Saccharomyces cerevisiae S288C: one gene and its partners. The gene in region 2 interacts genetically with the main gene of each other region. Each region holds a gene or a part of one and is shown on either strand. Other genes may lie near its edges.

Region 1 (8,033 bases), on a different chromosome or scaffold from region 2:
CGCCGAAATGCTCGAAAAACAAAGGGTATTGCCCGGCCCCGCGGACCTCCCTTTTGCGGCTCTCGGCCATTTTTTAGGTAATTTGACACCGTGCCCAAATGGCTTGGCACAATCGAGAATCAGGCACCCGCGTGTGACCGGCGTCATTCATTAAAGCCAGATAAGACAAAGTAAAATACAATGGATTATGATTAATACAATGATATACAAAAAGAGAGAAAATAAACGAAGGCTACGTCTGCGTAATTGACGATGGGAAACTGGTATTTTTATATAAGCATATGTAAAGTGCGAAGTATATCAGTACGGAATGCCATTTGTGAGCCTTTGGAATTCATCATAACCTTTAGTGAATATACTTTCATAACTTTTACGGATTAGCGCCTTCATATATAGTGCAGCTTCGTGATCGGTTTTTTGAGGTTGAAATCTTGCTCTTAGATTCCTAATTGTCTTGTGACCCTTAAAGCAGGGGAGACCGCTTCCTAACATAGGATTTACACACTCAATTATGGCCTCCACGTGCGGACGGGCGGCTAGATATGCCTTGATACAAAGTTCTTCAAAGTCCAGATACGCTGGGGTCTGGGGCGAACCTCCCATCACTTTAACCATTTCTTTCGTCAGCTTGAATGGTACTGCTTCAAACTTGATACCACCTGGGACAATATCAAAAATAAACCCAAAATCGATATGTAGACAATGTCCTTGATCATCGTACATAATGTTACCATTATGTCTATCCTTGAATTGCAACAAATACGAAATTACGCTATATCCCGCTAAGGATTTAACAAAGTTGTTTCGTGCGTTTTGAAATTCGATAGTAGATTCATTACCAAATTTACTAGTGAAATATTCATATAATCCATTAACAGCTTCACGTCCTAACATATCACGGGATACCGAATTGGGTAGCACATCGATGACACCACAACCCGGTGCCGTCGCAGTAACTCTGTAGGGAAAAACGTAGACATCCAAGCCAATACTAGACCAAATGGTTCTAAATAGCGAGATCAATTGTAACGCTAGAACATCTTGCCTACAGTCATCACCGACTTTGAAGATAGCAGCTTGCCATTTTTCAACTTCCTTGTTTTTACCTGTCAAAGGATCTTTTACGTCTTTCTTTATTTTAAAGGTCGCCATAAAAGGCGCCTTTGCGTGAGATTGAAGTGGCTTACCACTCTTCCGATCAATATCAATAACTACACCGTCAGGATTAGAAGGTAAATAAACATCAGGTTTCACCTCAATTTTGCTCATTTCTTCATCGATCTTATGTTTCTTTTCAGCCTTACTTTTTTTTATGTATGGTTTCAACTTACCAGATATGCCAGTTACTTCGTCGAAGAATTCAAATTCACGTTCGTAAAAATCGCGATGAGATTGGCTGAAACTTGAAACCATACGCTCCCTAATACGATCTAGAGTTGGTTTGATTTCATCTTCTTGTATACCTTCATCATCCTTGTAGCAGTTTGCAAGCATATTCCAGATTATTTGATGAGAAAATAACACACTAATTTTCGCAGTATCCAAAATCAATCTTTCGACATATCCGGTTTTATCGTATCTCAAACATTGTACGATTTGAGGAACATAGAAGAATGCCAAGTTCACATCTTGTGATTCCAACGAATATATGCTGAATTGTAAGATAAAAGAATTACCTTGCCATTCGGGAAGGAAAAGGTTGATAGATTTTAACGGGCTCACTGGCGCCCAGTATAAGGTTGCGTGTAGGTCTTTCTTACTGCTCAGGTGGCTTCCTTTTATGAACAGGTCAAGAGCACTTGGGGACCCCACACACATTAAAGCATGTTTTGCAACTAAGCCCACTAAAACATCCTCAGCTTTCTTGCTATAACATCGTTGTAAGAGATTTATTGCTAATGTTGGATCTTTAGCAAAGGTAGCTTCAACGATATCGCTTGTAAGCTCGTTGCTGTCGGCTCCTTCAATCTTCTCAGTCGGAGTAAGCCAGGTTTGAATCTGCTGGATTTCGCTTGCCAAGAAATAGTTCAGGATCTTGTAATCTTTCCCGCAATGACGTGACATTAGCGAGCTTAATTTGTTGAGCTGAAGGAAAAGGTCCCTAGTAACAGATAAATCTGCTTTGATTTTCAGCTCATTTGAGCCGAATGGCCACGCTACTGGTCTTTTAAACCAACTTAGGGCACCGTTTGTGATTTCTTGCGACAAACGGCCCATATACTTGGATCCCTGCTTATAACTTGCGTTTAGTACGAGAGTCGCGAATAACAATAATTCGTGGCGAATCATTCTAGCGAACGGGTGTAGTGAAGCCTTATACAGATTCTTGATACCATAAAGCGCACATTTCGTGAAAATTTTCAATAAAAAGTCACTTTGAAATAGTGTGCCCTCGAAATGGGAAGCAAAAAATTTAATAACATGAAGATGTGGTTGCATAGCTTGGGATGCATTTTTTGCATCTCTGTTGATACCTGCTTTGTCGTAAGGGGAATATTCCATTTTTTGGTATTCTTCGCCCTTTAAGTCATGATCGCGAGAATAGAGACCAATATTGTCATCAATGGAGCGCATCCAGCAATAGCATACTTCAACTAAAAGCAAATGTGCAACTTCGGGCTTCTCAGTTATGATTGTTAACCATACGTTTGTAGCAATCTTTAAAGATGCAGAGGTGAAGACTTCGAACGGGATGTGCACAATATCATATATCAATGACGCTGGTGCACCATTGCCAAGAATTAACAACGCGGTAGCCATATCAAGAAAATCAGTTACGTCTTTAGTTATAATCTTATTTCCTAAGGTCAAATTTTTTCTTATGTTTTGAGTGGAAATACCTATTTGCCTTTTGATATCCTCTGGTGATGATGTAATAGCGGTATCGAAAAGATATTTTGACCTCCAAGAATGTAAAGATATAAATCCAGAAATCGTGTTAGGTTTCTCTGGACCATAATAAGTAAGCCTTGATAATTCCTTATCTGCAGGTAAAATCAAACCAGCCATATCCATGGCAAATGAGACACCAAATTCAACAGAATTTAGCCTGCTGTACTCACCGAGATCTGATATGTATGATTGCAACAAAATCTTAGTATCCTGGTTGCTTCTATTCAATAGAATTCTTACCCATTCTTTAGCTGACTTGTGCAATCTTGATAGTGTCGTAGCGCGCCAGGACGATGAGCTTGGAACCAATATTGTTGTCTTAGAATGTTTTAATTTAAATTCATACCGTGGTTCAAATTTATGCGCCTCTGAGTCCAAGATACTATCAAATAGGGCTGTTAACATATCTAATAAGGTGTAGAGAGACAAATGATGACATAACGATGATGGAATAGATCTGATAAATATTTCACAGGCATGAAAAGCGGCATCCTGCAAAGTTGGTTCCCTATGAGAAAGGCAAAGTAGCAAGTTATTAAGTTGTTGAGCAATCATTTTGGAGTTGAATATGGCATCGTTACCCTTTTGAATCAACCTAGCATATTTTCTAATCATGGAAACCGACAAAACTGCAATACACTTCTCAATTGAACCGGAAAGAATGGAGGGGTCTGAGAAGTACAGTAGAGTCTTCGAACAATCACCTGCCTCGCATCTTATCGTTTCTAGAAGAACGGCAGCCGCTAAAAACATGATTTTAGACGATGAAGTTGTTCTGTACTGAACAATATTGGTATTGAAATATTCGGTTATCTGCTGTTTTTGTTGTTTGATATTTTCGTTAGATGAACCGCGGCGCAAAATTGTATTCATTTCCAATGAAAGCTCCTTGTTATTAGCAGGAAATTCAGAAGCCAGCGGTGGTGAATTATAGGCAATAGTTAATAAGAAAGAAAAATTTCGTTTGACAATAGGCCCGCCCAAGTGGTACCCATGGATGACAAAATTAAACCAGGCGTTCCTAAACTTGTTTGTAGTGACTTCATCCTTATTGATGTCCAATGGCGTATCGCCTGGAACAGGTAGTAGAGCGGCGAGGGGCTCTAAGTAGGTAGCGATTTGATCAGCAACACGGGAAATCTCCGTTTGAGGTCTGTGATGTTCCAATCGTTCTACTTCCCCACTGGCAATGATTGAGTCCAATAGATCATGAAGATACATGAAATATAAGTCACTTGAAAAATGCCTGGCCAACAATTCTTTTGATATCACACATTTCGCTTTAATAATATTTTTCAATAGTGCGCTATCATCAATTTTTGTTGCAATAACAGTTCTCGATTTGAAGAACTTTAGTAAAAGCGAAAATTCTGTCAGTGAAGTATTCGGAGCCAGTCTTGCCAAAGAATTCAAAATAACACCGTCTAATTCCTTTGACATAGAATTAACTTTTTGCGTAAGAATAGAGATAGTCAAAGCTGTTATGCTTTGGGTGTTATAGTATGAGGCGATTGTAGTCGTTGCAGCCACACAATTAGATATCAAAGAGGCATGGTATGTCATAGTAGCTCCACTATTGACATCATGGGAGGAAAGTTGGCCCACAGTTGTATTTCCGAGCAGAGCACCAGTGCCATCCAAACTGGCAGATGAATTTCGCAAGGGAAAGTAGTCTTTCTCAATATTTTTTCCAGATGTTATTGTTAATTGGCGCTCACGGAGCACCGGGACGGGCGATCCGTCCTCGGAAACAGCTAATAAGTTGTTCATGGAATAAATTGTACTCACAATTGCATCTTCATTTAGAGGGTATAACCCTGTGGTGAATATTTTTGCAACATCATTAACTGTTTCAGTCGTGATATGTGGAGACGCTACCAATAAAGGAAACATACGAATCAGAGTTAATGACAATTTTTCCGTGAAAAAATTCAGTAATGAGGCAGAAGCTACAATTGCTTTTATCAAAGATGGTGTAACGACATCAGATAAGAAAAATTTATCAATAGATTCAGAAACAACGTTTGTAAAACTTTCAAAAAGCTCGCTTTCTGTATCTTCTATAAACGGAATTAAACATAGCGTTTGTAGGTAGTGGGCTCGAGTATCAAAAGAAAATCTTGCACGGTTGTCTGTAGATAGGTCGAGAATATGTGACTCAGAACAAAATTGCAGGGAAATTTTACACATGTCTGTAAAAAACTGTTTATTGCTTCTTACGTTGAAAAAAAAGTCATCAATACACTTCGTATCATCGTTTTCATCGGCTACTTCTTGATCAAATTTGTAAAATTGGTATTGTTGATTTAGTAAGAACTCACTCAAGTTGGCGCCGACATGTGAAGTGTTTAACAGATGAGATATTAGCGAAACTTGCAAGCGAGATATTAATTCCAATAAGTAGGCACTGGATAGCTCATTTCCAGCATCGTAATACTGGACGATTGAATCATTGGTAAACGTTGCTGAGGAATTCAAAATCTTATCAACTTCGTTTAGAAATGATCCACGAAGCACAAGTTTCGCTAACTTTTTCCAGGTGAATTTAGTAAGCTCTGTAGAGTTGGGAAACTGGATAAATGCATTAATAAAGCCCACTAATGATAGTAGACCAGATTGTTTAATAGTAAAAATCTTTAATACACGCTCAAAATAAGTTGAAATGATGCCGCCTATATTTTCATAAAGAACGGGATACTGTTCACAAGCTTGAATCATAAACTTAGTCAGCTGGAAAGTTAGCAATTCAATCGGATTTCTCATCTGTTCCAACTTGAATTTCGAGGACAGAACATCTGAAATTCTTTGTCTTGGAGTTTCCAGAAAATAAGGCGCAATTATTTCTTTAAGCATTGTCTCTACCAGATCGAGCGTGGTAGGGATTGCAACACAAAGCGAAGTTAGTACTTCCCATTCACTCAATGTAAGTGGTATAGTATATATCTTTGACGTATTTGTGGAATAAAAAATAGGCAATGTATGAGTTATCAAATCTAATGTTGTACCATTACTGTTTTGATCATTTGGTGCACCCGTCGAAAGTTTAGTTAGTCTTCCAATAGCTTTCGCTCTTAAAGATGAAGAGGCTTTCAATCCTCTGGTAAATCTCATCTGCCTTAAACGAGTGGCGTTTTCGATTGCTGTAGTTATCTTTTTGTGATCTAATTTTTTTCTTGATTTACAATAGTTATTAATGTTGAATATGTTTTTTCCCACAACTCAAACATCTTCGCAGTATTCTTGAAAAAAAAAAATACTATTAACGTACCTTCATCCCTGCGCGTGCCGTTTGATGATATCAGCCAAAAGGTAAAATGAGATGAAAAAGGCCAATCATTCATAAATGTACTTAGAGACATTAAAGAATCAGTTAGAGAATATAAAACAAGATAATAAAAATGGTACGTAGATGCAACTATATCTTTCCGTTTCTCATTGGCGGTTTTTAGCGATCGAAAATACTAACATAATCTTTTTGGGGGGTGAGAATGTATATGTGTACTGGATATGTATATTCTTGGCTTTATTCAAATAGTTGAAATTACGCCAATTACAAAAGAAAAAGCAAAAAGAAAATGAAAACAGCAGTTCTATTCAGCCTAATTTATCGGCAGCAAGAATTCGTTTGAAAAGGGACCTTGATTCGCTGGACCTCCCACCAACAGTGACTTTGAATGTAATAACATCACCAGATAGTGCGGATAGATCACAATCGCCGAAATTGGAGGTAATTGTTAGGCCTGATGAAGGATATTATAATTATGGATCTATTAATTTCAATTTGGATTTTAACGAAGTTTATCCGATTGAACCACCAAAAGTTGTATGTTTGAAGAAGATCTTTCATCCAAATATCGATTTAAAGGGGAACGTTTGCCTAAATATTCTTCGAGAAGACTGGTCGCCAGCTCTAGATTTGCAGAGTATTATAACCGGGCTTCTTTTCTTGTTCTTGGAGCCTAATCCCAATGACCCGTTAAACAAGGATGCAGCAAAGTTACTGTGTGAGGGTGAGAAAGAATTTGCTGAAGCTGTGAGATTGACCATGTCTGGAGGTTCAATTGAACATGTCAAATATGATAACATAGTTTCTCCTTGAGTCAAGTTCAGAGTAATTTTCGGTTGATTTGATTATATATAAACAATAAAATTATAGATAATTGTGACATACTAGGCGAGTTGTCGCCTTGGTAACATCTTGCTACCGCCATCTTCTGTTAGTTTACGCCTTATGACCAACATTCCTTATATTCTCGTTCAAACTTTTGTCTCGATATTTTGCAGGTACCTGTAGAACTTAATGTGTTCTATTCAAAATAAGTATAAAATTTCTGGCCAGTAAAGGCAAACAAAACATAAAGATATTAATACGAAAAATTTCTTGAAGAAAACAAAAAATACTTCTTATAATAAAGAAACAGCGAAGCCATGGCTATTGACAAGATAATCAGGAAGGTGAGATACCCTGGATAGAAGACTAAGAGAGAGCAGGAAGTTGAAGAACGCAATCTCAGCTATCGCTAATTCTTACAAAAAATAAAGATATTACAACTATGGAAGAAAAAAATGAATGACTATACTAGTTAGTAATATTTAACAAGATAACGCTTTCTATTTTCTGTAAAAAAAATTCTGTCTCATGCACTTGGAAGCAGCTTCAACATTTCTCTTTTCCAGATGTCACATTTTCCGGACCGGCCGTCATTCAATCGCAATTAAAAGAGAAAAATACCAACAAGTGGGTTGATTTACTTTTGTGTTTTCAAAAAGACCAATAGTTCTAACAAAGTAGATGCTTAGAAGTAAGCAAAGTGGAATATAGAGAAACAAAATTAAGTGATAGATTTACTTTTACACAAGAAAAGAGATGAAAATTTTCAATACAATACAATCTGTGCTGTTCGCAGCATTTTTTCTAAAACAGGGAAATTGCCTTGCGTCAAATGGGAGTACCGCATTGATGGGGGAAGTAGATATGCAAACGCCCTTTCCAGAGTGGTTAACAGAATTTACTAATCTTACACAATGGCCTGGAATTGACCCACCTTATATTCCGCTAGATTACATAAATCTTACTGAAGTGCCAGAATTAGATAGGTACTATCCTGGCCAGTGTCCCAAAATTTCTAGAGAGCAGTGCT
Region 2 (2,979 bases):
ACAACGGAATTTGGTCGTCTACTCATTTCGGCAACAAAAGGCTATCTGAGGCATATAAAAAGCTTAATTCGGGAGCCAAAGTGTTTTTATTTTTTTCAATCAACACATCAGGAAGATTCTGTGGCGTTGCAGAAATGGTATCGGATTTGAAAATGGATTTGGACACCAGTATATGGGAAGATGAACAAAAATATGGCAAAGCCTTTAAAGTAAGATGGGTGATCGTGCGTGATATAAATAACAGATCGTTAAAAAGGTTTTTGATACCATCCAATGAAATGAAACCGATAACACATTCCAGAGATACTCAAGAAATTCCATATTCGATTGGAATTTCAATAATTAATCTATTTAAAACTCAAGATTCTGATATTTTCTCCTTCTTGGATGAGACGTATGAATAGACCTTATCCCTCATTTATCAACATTTTATTCTCATTTATTATTAGTATTATTATTATTTTTAATATTATTTTTATTTAAAATTATCCTAAAATTACTTCTACTGTTATAACATCCAATCCATAAGAAGCAAAAACAAAGTTTTCATATTAAGCCATCGTAAAGGTTTAAGGCACCAATAATAGAGGGATCGACTTTAGAACCTTCTCTGAATTCGTCCAGCGTAATGTAACCATCTTCGTTCTTATCCATCAACTTGAAGATCTTCTTTACCCTCATTTCGGGCGTTGCCTCATCCTCATTAAGTGTAACCATAGACCCCATCATTTTATAAACACTCGCCACAATGGTTAGCATTTCATCAAATGTAATATATCCATCATGGTTCAAATCATAAAGTTCGAAAGCCCAGCTCAGTTTTTCCTCCAAAGTTCCTCTGGACGTTGTACTCAAAACTGTGATAAACTCTTCAAAATGTATGAATCCATTGTTGTCTTTATCAAAAACTGTAAAAAGGTGATTAGCAAAATCTTCAGGAGAACCAAATGGAAAAAACTGTTTGTATATCTTAACAAAATCTTCCCTAGCTAGTTGGCCACTAGGGCAATCCCTCAAAAATCCTTTATGCCATTGCTGGATTTCTCTTCTATCAAAATAGGTGGATTGTTTCAAACATGTCAGGTCATCTTTGGAAAGCTTTGACGTCTTGGCTCCCATTTTTTTTTTGAATCAAAAACAGTTTTCAAGCACAAAATAACTCTCGCCGATTCTTAAACTAGCAACAATTATAAAACAGGAGGTAATATCCCTAGTTCATCAGTTCAATCGTTGACAAATTAAACATTATTTCAGTACTCTATGGTATAATAATAAAAAATACACCGAAGAGTTACCCTTTTTTCGTTTTTAATGATCAATTCTGGCTCATTTTTTTACTTCCTGAGCAGTCAACTACTACTGAAAAAAAGAGGCTAATGGGTACGCATTTACCTAAAAACAATTAGATCCCTGCCTTGGATCGTAATCTTGTTTATCTATCCTTTTTGGACATTGACATCTATTTGTGTCGCAGTTAATTGCTTTCTGGGTACGTTGACTTTTTCAGTTCTATATCGGCCCGTTGCTTACTCTGTTCAACTCACTTATTCTTTTGTTTCGGTTTGGGCTGCTGCATTTATAGATTAAAAATAAATTTCAAATTTCCACGCTAACAAATAGAGCTAAATTAGCAGTTTCATTGTTGGCTATATTTTCATTACAACTTTTGATCTGATAACGTAAAAGAATTCAAACAAAAACTATCTAAAAAAATACAAAGCAAAAATCATGTCTACTTTACAACGTCGTAGAGTCAATAGGGCGGATTCTGGAGATACTTCCTCCATTCATTCTTCTGCTAACAATACCAAAGGAGACAAAATCGCAAATATTGCTGTTGACGGGGATGATGACAATGGAACAAACAAAAAGATTGCATATGACCCAGAAGAATCGAAATTGAGAGACAACATCAATATCCCTACGTTAACGTTGATGGAAGAAGTCTTATTGATGGGCTTAAGAGATAGAGAAGGATATTTGTCGTTTTGGAATGATAGTATTTCATATGCTTTGCGTGGTTGTATAATTATAGAATTAGCGTTAAGAGGTAAAATCAGAATCTTAGATGATTCCGCCAGGAAAAGGTTCGATCTTTCCGAAAGGTTGATTGAAGTTATTGACAGTTCCAAAACTGGGGAAGTTTTACTGGATGAAACTTTGCAATTGATGAAAAACGACGAACCTTTGTCAATTTCTAACTGGATTGATCTTTTAAGTGGTGAAACATGGAACCTTTTAAAGATCAACTATCAATTGAAACAAGTAAGGGAAAGATTGGCAAAAGGTTTGGTCGATAAAGGTGTATTGAGAACAGAAATGAAAAATTTCTTTTTGTTTGACATGGCGACACACCCCATTGCAGACGCCAGCTGCAAAGAAGCCATTAAGCGCAGAGTACTTTCTGTACTCGTATCGAGGAACATGGAATTAAGTTACAATGAATATTTTCCGGAGACAACATCTTTCAAAATCATTAGAACTTTAGCTTTAATATGTGGATCATATGGGGCAAACGTATTGGAGAATGTCCTGACTACGTTGGAATATGAGAAGAGAGATAAGGCAATTAGTAGAGCTGAAGAAATAATGGCACAATTTTCGCAATACCCATTTGATTTAGAAAAGGAAACTGAGTTAGGTGTCTCCGTTAATTTAAACAAGGAAGTTAAAGAAGAGATAGAAAACAATCCTGGTCATGATTTACAATTGGAAGTTATTGCTGGTGTATTTGAAGTCTTTTCAAGAATGGATATGCTATTATGAAAATAACAACAAAAATCCTCTCTTTGAAACATAAGGAAAAGTCAAGCTTTTTTTTATAAGCCTCTAACATTAATAAACGAAATTTGTATATATGTATATACATATACGGAGTGGATAATAAATAGACCAAACTTTTTGTTATTATATACGCCCACATTCGTATTCATTGCTTTCTTGAATCCAAATGCTTTAAATATGGAGATAAAAATCCGC
Region 3 (3,077 bases), on a different chromosome or scaffold from region 2:
ATGATGCCACATCCTGAAAGAGTTTGCAGATTGGAGGCCAATTCCTGGTATCCAGAGGGCAAATACGAAGAGTGGGGTGGATACGGTCCATGGATTAGATTATTCAGATCTGCCAGAAGATGGGTCGGTTGAAAGATTTTTGTAGTTTTTGTATATGTAGTTTTTAAGTTTGAATAATAATTAGAAAGAAGCTGTCTTTTATTTATAGCATTTAATAATGGGTTTGCTTGTTAAAAATTTATCATAAATAGTATGTATATATATATATATATATATGGATATGTATACGTGGTAATGAACGTGTATACATATATTTAAAAGATTGCAATATAGTTTTTAGAATTAACCTGAATTAATTTAAAAATCATATATTAAAATAAACAATTGTGAAGGTAAAAAGAAAGAGTTAGGGGAGGTCAAACAAAGTAAAAAAAAAAAAAAGGAAAAAAAGCGGTTCGAAATTTATTTCATTTTATACGTTTTTTTGTTGTTTTTCTTTTTTTTTTTTTTGAAGTATGTTTCTTCTCTTAGTTAGTCTTCTTTTGAGCATTGTTTTCAGCTCTCTTCTTCATTCTTTCTTCTCTGGAGGCCTTAGCTTCTGGACCAGATTCAGTGTCTAGACAGTAATCCCACCATCTGAAAGAGGAAGCGTAGTTACCAATAAAGTAGTGATGATGCAAATCGTGGTGTTCAGCGCCAGCCCAGAATGGCATGATCTTGTTCAAAGACCATGGGAAGTCATAACCAGAATGAGAGTCAACAGCTTGGAATAATCTTAGGGTGATCCATACACATAGAGTGAACAAGTGTAATTTACCAGTGTACATGACGTAAAGAATTGGCATACCAACGGTACCAAAACCCAAAGACAAAGTTTCAGCAGGATGAGCATATTCAGCAGAAAGACCGAATGGAGCAGCGTATCTGTGATGTTGCTTGTGAATGTACTTGTAGAAGACACCGTAGTGGAATAGACGGTGAGCCCAGTAATGCCATGTATCTTCCAAGACGAAGAATAGACCAATTTCTAGAGCCATTGTTTTCAAAGATGGGAATGGAACTTCGACAGTAATACCTAATTTTTCACACATTGGGTGGAAGGTCCAGATAGGGATGGCCTCGACCAAGAAATGAGATAGAAGAACGGATTTCAAACAGTATAGTTGTTCCTTAGCACTTGGAATCTTAGTTGGTTGTAACTTCCATCTTCTAAAGTATGGAATTTGGTCGATGATGAACCATGGCAAACATCTAAAGAAATACATAAATTCATGCAATAAAAAGAACATTAGACCGGTGGCCAAAACATCATTGTTCATGTAACTGTACCATGCGGCCCAGTATTTCTCCATGAAATTCAATTGAGGTTGGTAATGGGCGACATTTTGCAAAGTTTGTGAGTAGGTGCTTGCTTGGACTAGACCTGAAAGGGTAGCGTTGTTGAAAACGGCAGACATCTTTTCCTCTTTTTTTTATGGCTGTACTACTTTTCCTTAGTCCTCTATGCTACTATCTAAAGAGAAAAAGTTACAACTAATATAAAGATTTACTGGAAGGAAAGAAACGAAGAGAGAGAAAAAAGGGAGAGAAGAAGAGAAGAAGAAAAAAAAGAATAGATCCTCCTGTATTATATATTATATAGAAGTATGCATACACAGGCGTACGCATACAAGAAAATGTACATGCATAACGGATTAATCGTGTGTATATAGTTTAAACTGCGCAGAGAATGAATAATAATAATACGACCACAGCAGAGGCGAGGCAAGCAAGAAAAAAAAAATTGGTGGGAAAGCGATGCGATACGGTGGCAAAGGGCCTCTTCCTCGACGGTTTTGTGCCAGGTGCCTTGAGGTTGCTGACTGTTATCGGTCATTGTTAGTTGCTATTGTCCTAGTGCTAGTCGTTTACCGTATACGATCTCTGTGTCCCGTATACGAAGGGAGGCAGTGGTAGTGGCAGTGGCCGTTGCGGAGCTGGCTAAACGACATCTGGGCGTAAACGACACCCGATAACTGGCTCTGCTCTTTCCTGCGAGATGGTTCTATCGGACCAAGGCCCAAACGGGTTTAAACGGCTGCCCTCCGCACCCGCACGTGACTACACCGGGTAACGAATGGATTGCGTAATATACCGATTTTTACTTTTTACACTTTTTTGTTTCCTATACGACGCGGACGAAGAGAAAGTCTTCTGCGCCAAGGCCGAAAAGAAAAATTTGAAGAAAACATTCTCAGATGCGAATCTACTTTTACATCATCTTCTACGTAGGCCCTTTTTTAGTTCCTTTTTTTTTTCTCCCTCGGTCTGTTTAATCATAGTAAAATCAGATATTGTCAAAAATTGTATTCATTGAATGGAGAGTACTTAAACTTCACATCCTAACATTAGAGATGCCAGAAAAAACATATAGGTATAAGTGAAATCATCATTATGATAAACGAGACGGATGAAAGGAGAAAAAACTGAAAAGAAAAAAAGGGCGGATTGACAATTCAAGAAAAAGGCAAAAAGTAAAGGAAGGTAACATCACTTGATATCGCACCCTTCTTTGCATTGCCTTGTGGTTACCGTACCACTCTTGCTTATGATTTTTTTTTCTTTTTGCGCGCGCTAGGCTGAAATGTAGAGGTTCAAGGTATGATAACAGCGGACAAAGGTATATGATGTCGCGCATTTGATGCCTTAAATACAATTTTTTTTTTTCCCTCCTCCGTCGAAAAAACGCTGTGAAGAATAAAAAAAAATTGTATTTTGTATTACCCGGATTTACTTTAGTCTCACATTGTATTGTTAGGGTTTTGCTACTTATGGTAAAACTGCCGCTAAAAAAATATTCATTTCTATCCTAATTGTATTTTTATTATGTAGAGCAAAGCTTGCGCGAAATTATTGGCTTTTTTTTTTTTTTAATTAATACTACCTTTTGATGTGAACGTTTACTAAAGTAGCACTATCTGTGGAATGGCTGTTGGAACTTTTTCCGATTAACAGCTTGTATTCCAAGTCCTGACATTCCAGTTGTAAGTTTTCCAACTTGTGATTCAATTGTTCAATCTCTTGGTTAAAATTCTCTT
Region 4 (7,897 bases), 420 kb from region 2:
TCTGCTTAGAAATTGTTTTATAGCATGTCTCAACTCCGTTGGAACGCTCTTATCTAATATTTGAATCACCAGAGCATACATAGCAGGACAGTATAGTCTAAAGTCTTCATCATCAAATTCGTAGTAACCTTGTAATATTTCAACTATCACTGAACGCCAGGCATTGATACTACGTTCCATGGTTCTATCATCCAAAGAAACATAACCCTCTACGACCTGGATGCAAATGGTGATCAGACGAGTTATTAAATCAGCCTTCTTCTCATCATCGTTCAGATACAACTGAAACATAATGTCAAGGAGAACTGCAGCAGCACTCGTTTCTTGTTTCAACAGGTTTGGTATTTTATCAACTACACGAGCCTCTACTAGTCTTGTTCTTAACCCATAATCTTCATTAAAGTCACGAGAAAATTCGTACGATTTCTCCAACAATCTTGTAATTCTAATGGCTTCCTTGTAAGGGATACAGTGGGCAAAATCTTCGTTCTCGAATAATTCGTTGAGCAGCTCTATCATCAAAAGCTGTAAAACACATTTGACAACAATAGAATTCTTGATGTTTATTCTCCTACGTATATCTTCGTTACTTTCGTTTCGTTTCATGTGCTTAGTTTTCTTGGGGATACTTAGACTAGCGGGCTTTGGATTCAATTCGTCCTTTACCGTCGGAACGGAATTGCCATTATTAAGCTTAGTTTGCCCATTGAGTGTTTCAACCATGTCACCACCAACGTCTTCGCTGGATTCTTCTTGATGCGCTCTTTCGACCGTCTCACTGATATTAGAATCGTTCTCCCTTCTGTCGTTGCTATCATCATCTGAGTGTTGGCTGGTATCATTAGTTGTTTGGTGATGAGATACAGATGATTTTCTTCCTTGCTGTAACGGATCATAATCGAACAATTCATTAGCAGTGGTTAAATCAAACAATTTATCGAATACGTCACCTATTTGATTCCAATGGTACTCATTGAATTTAGATACGTTTTGCAATATCAATTGTTGCAGGCAGGATCTCCCAATTCTAGCAATAGTGTCATTTTCTTGACAAATACAGGATACCAGCAGACCCAAAAATCCATCGAGCATTCTGTTCAACGATTCAAAGTAATGCGTAAAAAGGGCAATCAAGTTCCTTAAGGCTTGAATTAACGTGGTCGAAAGCCAAACACTTAAATCATCATGACTATTGAATTGGTTGACTTCCCAATGTTTGGATAATACACCGAAAATAGGAAATAGTAACTTCTTACAAATCTTTTCCCAGAAATCATCATTGAATTTACCACCATATGCCACTAGGGCATCGAACATATAGTTTAATGCACGTGATCTAACTTCTAAGTCTTCAGCTGTCATGATCGTATCATTGAAGCAGAATAACATAGGGAACCACACATCCTGGAATATGTCTTTCCCACGAAGTAAAGCATCGTTATGTTTTCTTTCTTCTTCAGTCTTATTTTCATTGTAAAAACAGATGTCTGCGACGTTCTGAGTCATCTTTCTTAGAGACTCCAAAGCATGTAGAGATAGCTTTTGGAATCTCTTATTTTTGGTGATTTCTCTGAAGACACCAACTAACTCAGAAAAGGCATCTTCTTGAGAGAATACGTTTTCGAAGTGATTTGTCACAATATCATTGCTAACCAGCAATTGCGTCTTTAATACAATGGATTCAGTGCTTGAGCGAGCCGTATATTGTAAGGATTCAAGAATAGGCTTCCAGCCAGATTTGATACTTTCCGATTTTGTCAATATGAAGTTCCTAAAACACTCAATAATCATTTCTTGAACTTCAGTGTTGCCACTATTTTGAACCGTGTATTCAAAAGGTTTTAAAAAATCATGTTGAAATTCAAAACCTGATAATTCCTCAATATCTAAAAATCTCATAGACAATTGACGCAGGGAATCGATAGCGAAAAATACTACTGCTAAGTTAGAGTTTGTAGCAATCTTGTTGAAAGCTTTTCCCATAACAGCCCAAAGCGGCGTCCATTCTAGTTTGATACGATCCATATTGTAGTAACATACATCGACCATTTTTTGCAAGGAAAACATTCTTGGTGTGGAAGCATTTTCAGATGATTCAATTTCTTCTAAAGATACAGCGGTTAAAGCTTTGATAAAATCAACGATAGCATTACCTGATAACTCGGAACTTTTGGTAAATATATTGTCCATCAAAACGACTAATTCACTGGAGGAAATGAATTTAGAGATTTCGGGTGATAAGGTTTGATTATGGTGTTTTTCTTGAGCCAATTCTGTGGGAGTTGCCTTCTTGCCCCAAACATCAAAGAAAGATGTATTATTGGATCTTGATGATTCGTAAGAAACTCTAGGGTTTGCAACACGAGCTTGTGCAACATCTGGAACCGTATCTCTGTCGATACCTTTGGATATCAATTGTAGTCTTTCCATTTGAGACACGACCAGCAAAATGTCCTTCCACGATCCCTCCAAGTAATTTCCTTCTGATAACGCGACTTCAAGAAGAATTACCATTGCATTGACATTTTTAACTTTGATTTCTTCAAGGTTTTGAAGGTTACAAAATTGGACTAACGCACCTACAAAGGAGGTTCTAGCATCATTGATTCTAAAAGTAGAAGCAATTTTAATTGATATTTTCAAGCCTTCTAAACACTTATTGGTTGTGTCAATGTCATCATAATCCTTAAATGGGGGGGTTAGAGCTGCTAAAAAGGACATCCATAGTGTCTCGAAAATTGATTTAACATGCTCAACGTGGGAAGCAGCATAATAGACGTCTGGGCCTCCTTTATTTTTGTTTAAATTCTTAAAGACTAATTCCGTTTTAGATGAAATTTCTTTTGAGACTTGATTATATGCCTCTCTTGTCAAATCACGAGAATTAAAGAAGTTGAAAGCAGATTGCTGTTGTTGGACAAGATTGGTATCACCTGAAAGCATTGCCTGATGCTGTTCAGAAATTAACTTGATTTCATTGTTAGCAATTTCGTTGAACAAACCTTCCAAGAAGTCTCTTGGTAAATCTCTTCCGTTGTCAATACCTTCGTTGTTTTCTAAAAACTCTTGTAAAGACATTTTATTTTTGATTTGTGACGAATGTAAATCAGTATTCAACATGATCAAAGAATACGAAAGCACATATGCAGTATCCGCCTTTGAAAAGACTCCGGGGTTTTGGTCCACAAATCTTTCCGCAAATTTCAGCATGAATCTGTCAATTTTTTGACCTTCTCCAGGCAATCTGAAACTTTGTAAAAATGACCTTAATGCGTCAACAATGGACATACCAGTGAAGTCAAACTCATCAACAAATGCGTGCATTATAGCGATGTTCTTGTCGTCTCCTTCGCCTAGATAATCCCCAACAGCGGCCATGTCGAGGCCTTCTGTTTCTAATAACCACTTGGCAATGGAAATTGGAGAATCATCTTTCAAAAATCCTTTTTTAATAAGTACTGGAATAGCTTTCTTGGGTTTATTGTTGAAAATAGCAATACATTCCGATAAAGCAGTTTTCCTTAGTTTCAAATTTTCAAATTGTGTGGGGTCGTCTGCGTCAATGTTTTGACTGCTCAATGATCTGCTTTCTTCGTCTTCATATGTTGGTTTGAAGTCATCATTACTTGTCATAATAGAAGACCTTACGTCGTTACTCAAAGATGATCTAGATTCTTGACGAGCTGAAGATGTTGTGTTTAGTAATACCTTATTAGCAGTGTGTGTGTTTGGATTTAAAGCTTTGTGAGCCCATGAGCTTAAGGAACGCAAAACTGACACAATGCAATTTAGTGACACCATTTTGAGAGCAAAATCAAGTGGAAAAAGTAAATTGACTTGACCAACATCAGGACTAGAAGACAAGTTGGAAGAAGTCAAAAGGGGCAATTGTGAGAAATTGTAGGTGGACAGGGATTTTGATATTTGTTCATCGTAGTATGATCTTTGAGTCTGAGTAATTTCCACCCTAGTTAAAGCCAATCTTGTCAAATAATCAACAGTTATTTCCATTACATTTGGCATTCCAGGGTTACAATCATAATTCAAGTAAAATTCAACTAAAGTTCTTGGGTCGTTACAAATTCGTTGAATAACACTTAAAAAATATCTCTTTTGTTGGGAGGTGGAAGTGGTTAATTCTGAAATGGGGAAGTAGATTTCTGTTAAAAAAACTGGAATTTCCTTCACGAAATCTGCTCTCAAATTAGCAATCAATAGCCACATAATTTCTAAAGTAACCTCGAAAACTGGAGCTAGAGGCGAGGCAGCATTCCTTGATAAAACAAGACGTAAATATTGTCTAATTGAATCGATAAAGCACACACGCTCCTTTCCTGGTAGAAAAATGTTGTGGGAAAGGAATACGTCAATATGATCTTTGATAATAGAGTAAATGATGTGAAGAGATAAAAGCTTTGACCTGACGGCATGTGACCTCATGTCGAGTTCTGTTTCCAAAGGTTTAGCACATATTTTCGCCATGACTCTAAACACTAAGAACGCATCTTTAACAGCTAGATCTTGGTTAGTTATGGCGATAGAATCAGGCTGTTGAGCGTCCATTAGTCTTTCCTCATCGTCATTCAACTTATCCATATTTTCCAGAGTTAAAGGAGCCGGCGTTTCTGCATTTTCAGAAGCCTCGGAAAGTTCTATGGCGGATTGTTGTTGATGATTTTTTGTCGATAAGGATACTGCTGAAGAGGTACTTTGTTTGAGATCGATTTTATCATACACCGAACTAATAATTTGTGTCAAGGTCGCCTGTGCAATACCTTGATTGGATGGGTTCAACGAAAAGACGAAAACGTTGTAGATTGTTCTGATAGCCTTTAGCAAGGAAGCACCGTGGCATAAAGAACTTGAATCCTCTTCTAAAATGCAACTAGATAAAGCTCTAACGATTTGTAGTTCCACACGGTCATCAGTGCCTTCACCTTGAAAACAGTCTGAAATAGTATCAATTGCAGCGTCTATAATTTTTTGTTTTGGAGGCGGCGTTATTCCATCGGCAGCATCTTGTCGTTGATCATTAGAGGCTAAAGAATCGGGTGGATTCACTAACAGGGTCTCGTCTAGCGATCTAAAAGAAAACAATTTTGACAGGCAATCTAAAGCCAAACTTTGAACTTTGGAGGATTTGGTACGACAGCTTGCCCTTAGTGCTTCGAATACTAGTATTGAATCCACGTAATGTGGGTTATTCGTGGTTTGCGGATCAAATTCCTTAAATTTTTGTAATGTCCTTTCGATAGCCTTCTGAGCATTCGAATTCTTTTTAATGTCCTTATCATTTAAAATTGTCTCCAACGTAGTTTTCACTAAAATTATGGTTGAGTTTGTGTTCGAACCATTTGAAGATAGTGATATGTTCCTCGTATGGGTAGACCTTGGGGCAGTAGAATCGTTGGTGGGAACACTATCTTGATGAGCGATAGCTGGTTCGCCAGCATTTTCCTCTTCTTCTTCTTCTTCTTCTTCTTCTTCTTCTTCTTCTGACCCGCTTTCATCACCAGAGGAGCTGTTTGATGTATTTCCATCGCTTTCATCAGATTCTTCATCTTCTCCAGAGCTACTCTCAGTACTTTCCCCTGAGACTGATTCAGAATCTTCCCCGTCTTCGGAACTGGTTTCGGAACTACTGCTATCCACGTCCTCATCATCCTCGTCCCCATTGTCTTCATCTTCATCTTCATCTTCATCTTCATCTTCATCTCCATCTTCACCTTCATCGTCATGGCGTTTGTCATTTGTATCTTCCGTTTCTTCGGGCGTTTTCATTCCGTTGGTAGCGTCGTTACTTGTTTCTTTTGTTTCTGCCGTACTGCCAGCGTTTTCTGGCCCTTTGCATTTTTGATCTTCACCATTTGTCTCTTTAGCTTCTTCTTTAATAGCATTCTGTGGTTTCACAGACGGATTGACTGAAGAAGCAGTCTCTACATTTGAAGATATTTCGCCATCCCCTTTTTCAGCATTTACTACTGAATTCTGTTCAGACATCAGATATAGTAGCACTTAGACTTGTTTCTTATCTTCTTTAATGGAATTCGGGGAAAAAATGAGAAAGAAACAGTTTAAGATATTACTTTTTATTGGTTCTGGAGAAACTTAAAAGAAATCGAGTATAGCTTAGTTGCAGAAAATATTTTATATTTCTCCGGAAAATGACTTCAATTTCTATTAGTCTGCGTTTATTGAACAATTGGAGAGAAGCCAATGATGCTTTTTAAAGAAATGATGTAAATCCCAACTTTGAGCTTCCTTTCTCGTTGCTTTGTTTTTCCCTCGCCTCGATATTATAAAATTTACTCGGCGCCTTGATAAAAACTAAACGTTCACCTTCTTTCCTGTAGAGGGAAAATAACAATATGTATAAGCCTTCTCCGACATCAAAAAACTGTAAGAGCTTCAAAAGTACTAAAGTGTATATCTTAAGAGCATCGTTGGCTCCACTCTAACACATCAACAAAAAATATCAATGTTGATTTGTTAGAGTAAAAATAAAAAGAGGTCCTACCCGGATTCGAACCGGGGTTGTCCGGATCAAAACCGAAAGTGATAACCACTACACTATAGGACCGACAATTCATGTTAAATCCTCCTTTTTTAGGCTTTTATAAGTTACTTTGACTAGAGATGACTAGAAATGATTATATTACACGCACACACAATACACACATAGTGTTGGAATAAAAATCCACTATCGTCTATCAACTAATAGTTATATTATCAATATATTATCATATACGGTGTTAAGATGATGACATAAGTTATGAGAAGCTGTCATCGAAGTTAGAGGAAGCTGAAGTGCAAGGATTGATAATGTAATAGGATAATGAAACATATAAAACAGAATGAGGAATAATCGTAATATTGGTATATAGAAATATAGATTCCATTATGGGGATTCCTGACCCTCGAGGAGAACTTCTAGTATATTCTGTATACCTAATATTATAGCCTTTATCAACAATGGAATCCCAACAATTATCTCAACATTCACCCATTTCTCATGGTAGCGCCTGTGCTTCGGTTACTTCTAAAGAAGTCCAAACAACTCAAGATCCGTTAGACATTTCAGCTTCCAAAACAGAAGAATGTGAGAAGGTTTTCACTCAGGCTAATTCTCAACAGCCAACAACACCTCCCTCAGCTGCTGTTCCAGAGAACCATCATCATGCCTCTCCTCAAGCTGCTCAAGTACCATTGCCACAAAATGGGCCGTACCCACAGCAGCGAATGATGACTCCCCAACAAGCCAATATTTCTGGTTGGCCAGTATACGGGCACCCATCTTTGATGCCGTATCCACCTTATCAAATGTCACCTATGTACGCTCCACCTGGAGCACAATCACAGTTTACACAATATCCACAATATGTTGGAACACATTTGAACACCCCGTCACCTGAGTCAGGTAATTCATTTCCTGATTCATCCTCAGCAAAGTCTAATATGACATCCACTAATCAACATGTCAGACCACCGCCAATCTTAACCTCACCTAATGACTTTCTAAATTGGGTTAAAATATACATCAAATTTTTACAAAATTCGAATCTCGGTGATATTATTCCGACAGCAACAAGAAAAGCCGTACGTCAGATGACTGATGACGAACTCACCTTCTTATGTCACACCTTTCAACTATTTGCTCTATCTCAATTCTTACCCACCTGGGTTAAAGACATCTTATCTGTTGATTATACAGATATCATGAAAATTCTTTCCAAAAGCATTAACAAAATGCAGTCTGATACTCAAGAGGTAAATGACATTACGACCCTAGCAAATTTGCATTATAATGGAAGTACACCTGCAGATGCATTTGAAGCAGAAGTCACAAACATTCTTGACAGACTAAAAAACAATGGCATTCCTATCAATAACAAGGTAG

The links.
Region 1: mutations in FRQ1 (region 2) and STT4 together harm fitness more than expected from each alone (negative genetic interaction), as found in Saccharomyces cerevisiae (2 studies listed by BioGRID).
Region 3: mutations in FRQ1 (region 2) and ERG25 together harm fitness more than expected from each alone (negative genetic interaction), as found in Saccharomyces cerevisiae (2 studies listed by BioGRID).
Region 4: mutations in FRQ1 (region 2) and SEC7 together harm fitness more than expected from each alone (negative genetic interaction), as found in Saccharomyces cerevisiae (2 studies listed by BioGRID).

Annotation. Positions count from the first base shown.
Region 1 is NC_001144.5:737,861-745,893, forward strand, and holds STT4 (1-phosphatidylinositol 4-kinase STT4), read right to left. Parts: upstream 6,004-8,033; coding exon 301-6,003; downstream 1-300. Other genes in the region: NEDD8-conjugating protein UBC12, read left to right, coding at 6,291-6,293, 6,428-6,991; chitin deacetylase CDA1, read left to right, coding at 7,760-8,033. UniProt on the Saccharomyces cerevisiae protein: Acts on phosphatidylinositol (PI) in the first committed step in the production of the second messenger inositol 1,4,5,-trisphosphate. STT4 functions in PKC1 protein kinase pathway.
Region 2 is NC_001136.10:1,220,899-1,223,877, reverse strand, and holds FRQ1 (frequenin), read right to left. Parts: upstream 1,120-2,979; coding exon 547-1,119; downstream 1-546. Other genes in the region: PHO92 (mRNA-binding phosphate metabolism regulator), read left to right, coding at 1-404; VPS74 (Vps74p), read left to right, coding at 1,729-2,766; CTS2 (putative chitinase), read right to left, coding at 2,930-2,979.
Region 3 is NC_001139.9:608,944-612,020, reverse strand, and holds ERG25 (methylsterol monooxygenase), read right to left. Parts: upstream 1,458-3,077; coding exon 528-1,457; downstream 1-527. Other genes in the region: ADE6 (phosphoribosylformylglycinamidine synthase), read left to right, coding at 1-132; septin SPR3, read right to left, coding at 2,920-3,077.
Region 4 is NC_001136.10:796,223-804,119, forward strand, and holds the start of SEC7 (Arf family guanine nucleotide exchange factor SEC7), read right to left. Parts: upstream 6,001-7,897; coding exon 1-6,000. Other genes in the region: YDR170W-A (gag protein), read left to right, coding at 6,973-7,897. UniProt on the Saccharomyces cerevisiae protein: Guanine exchange factor that acts as an activator of ARF1 at the trans-Golgi network and is thus involved in vesicular budding and traffic between compartments of the Golgi apparatus.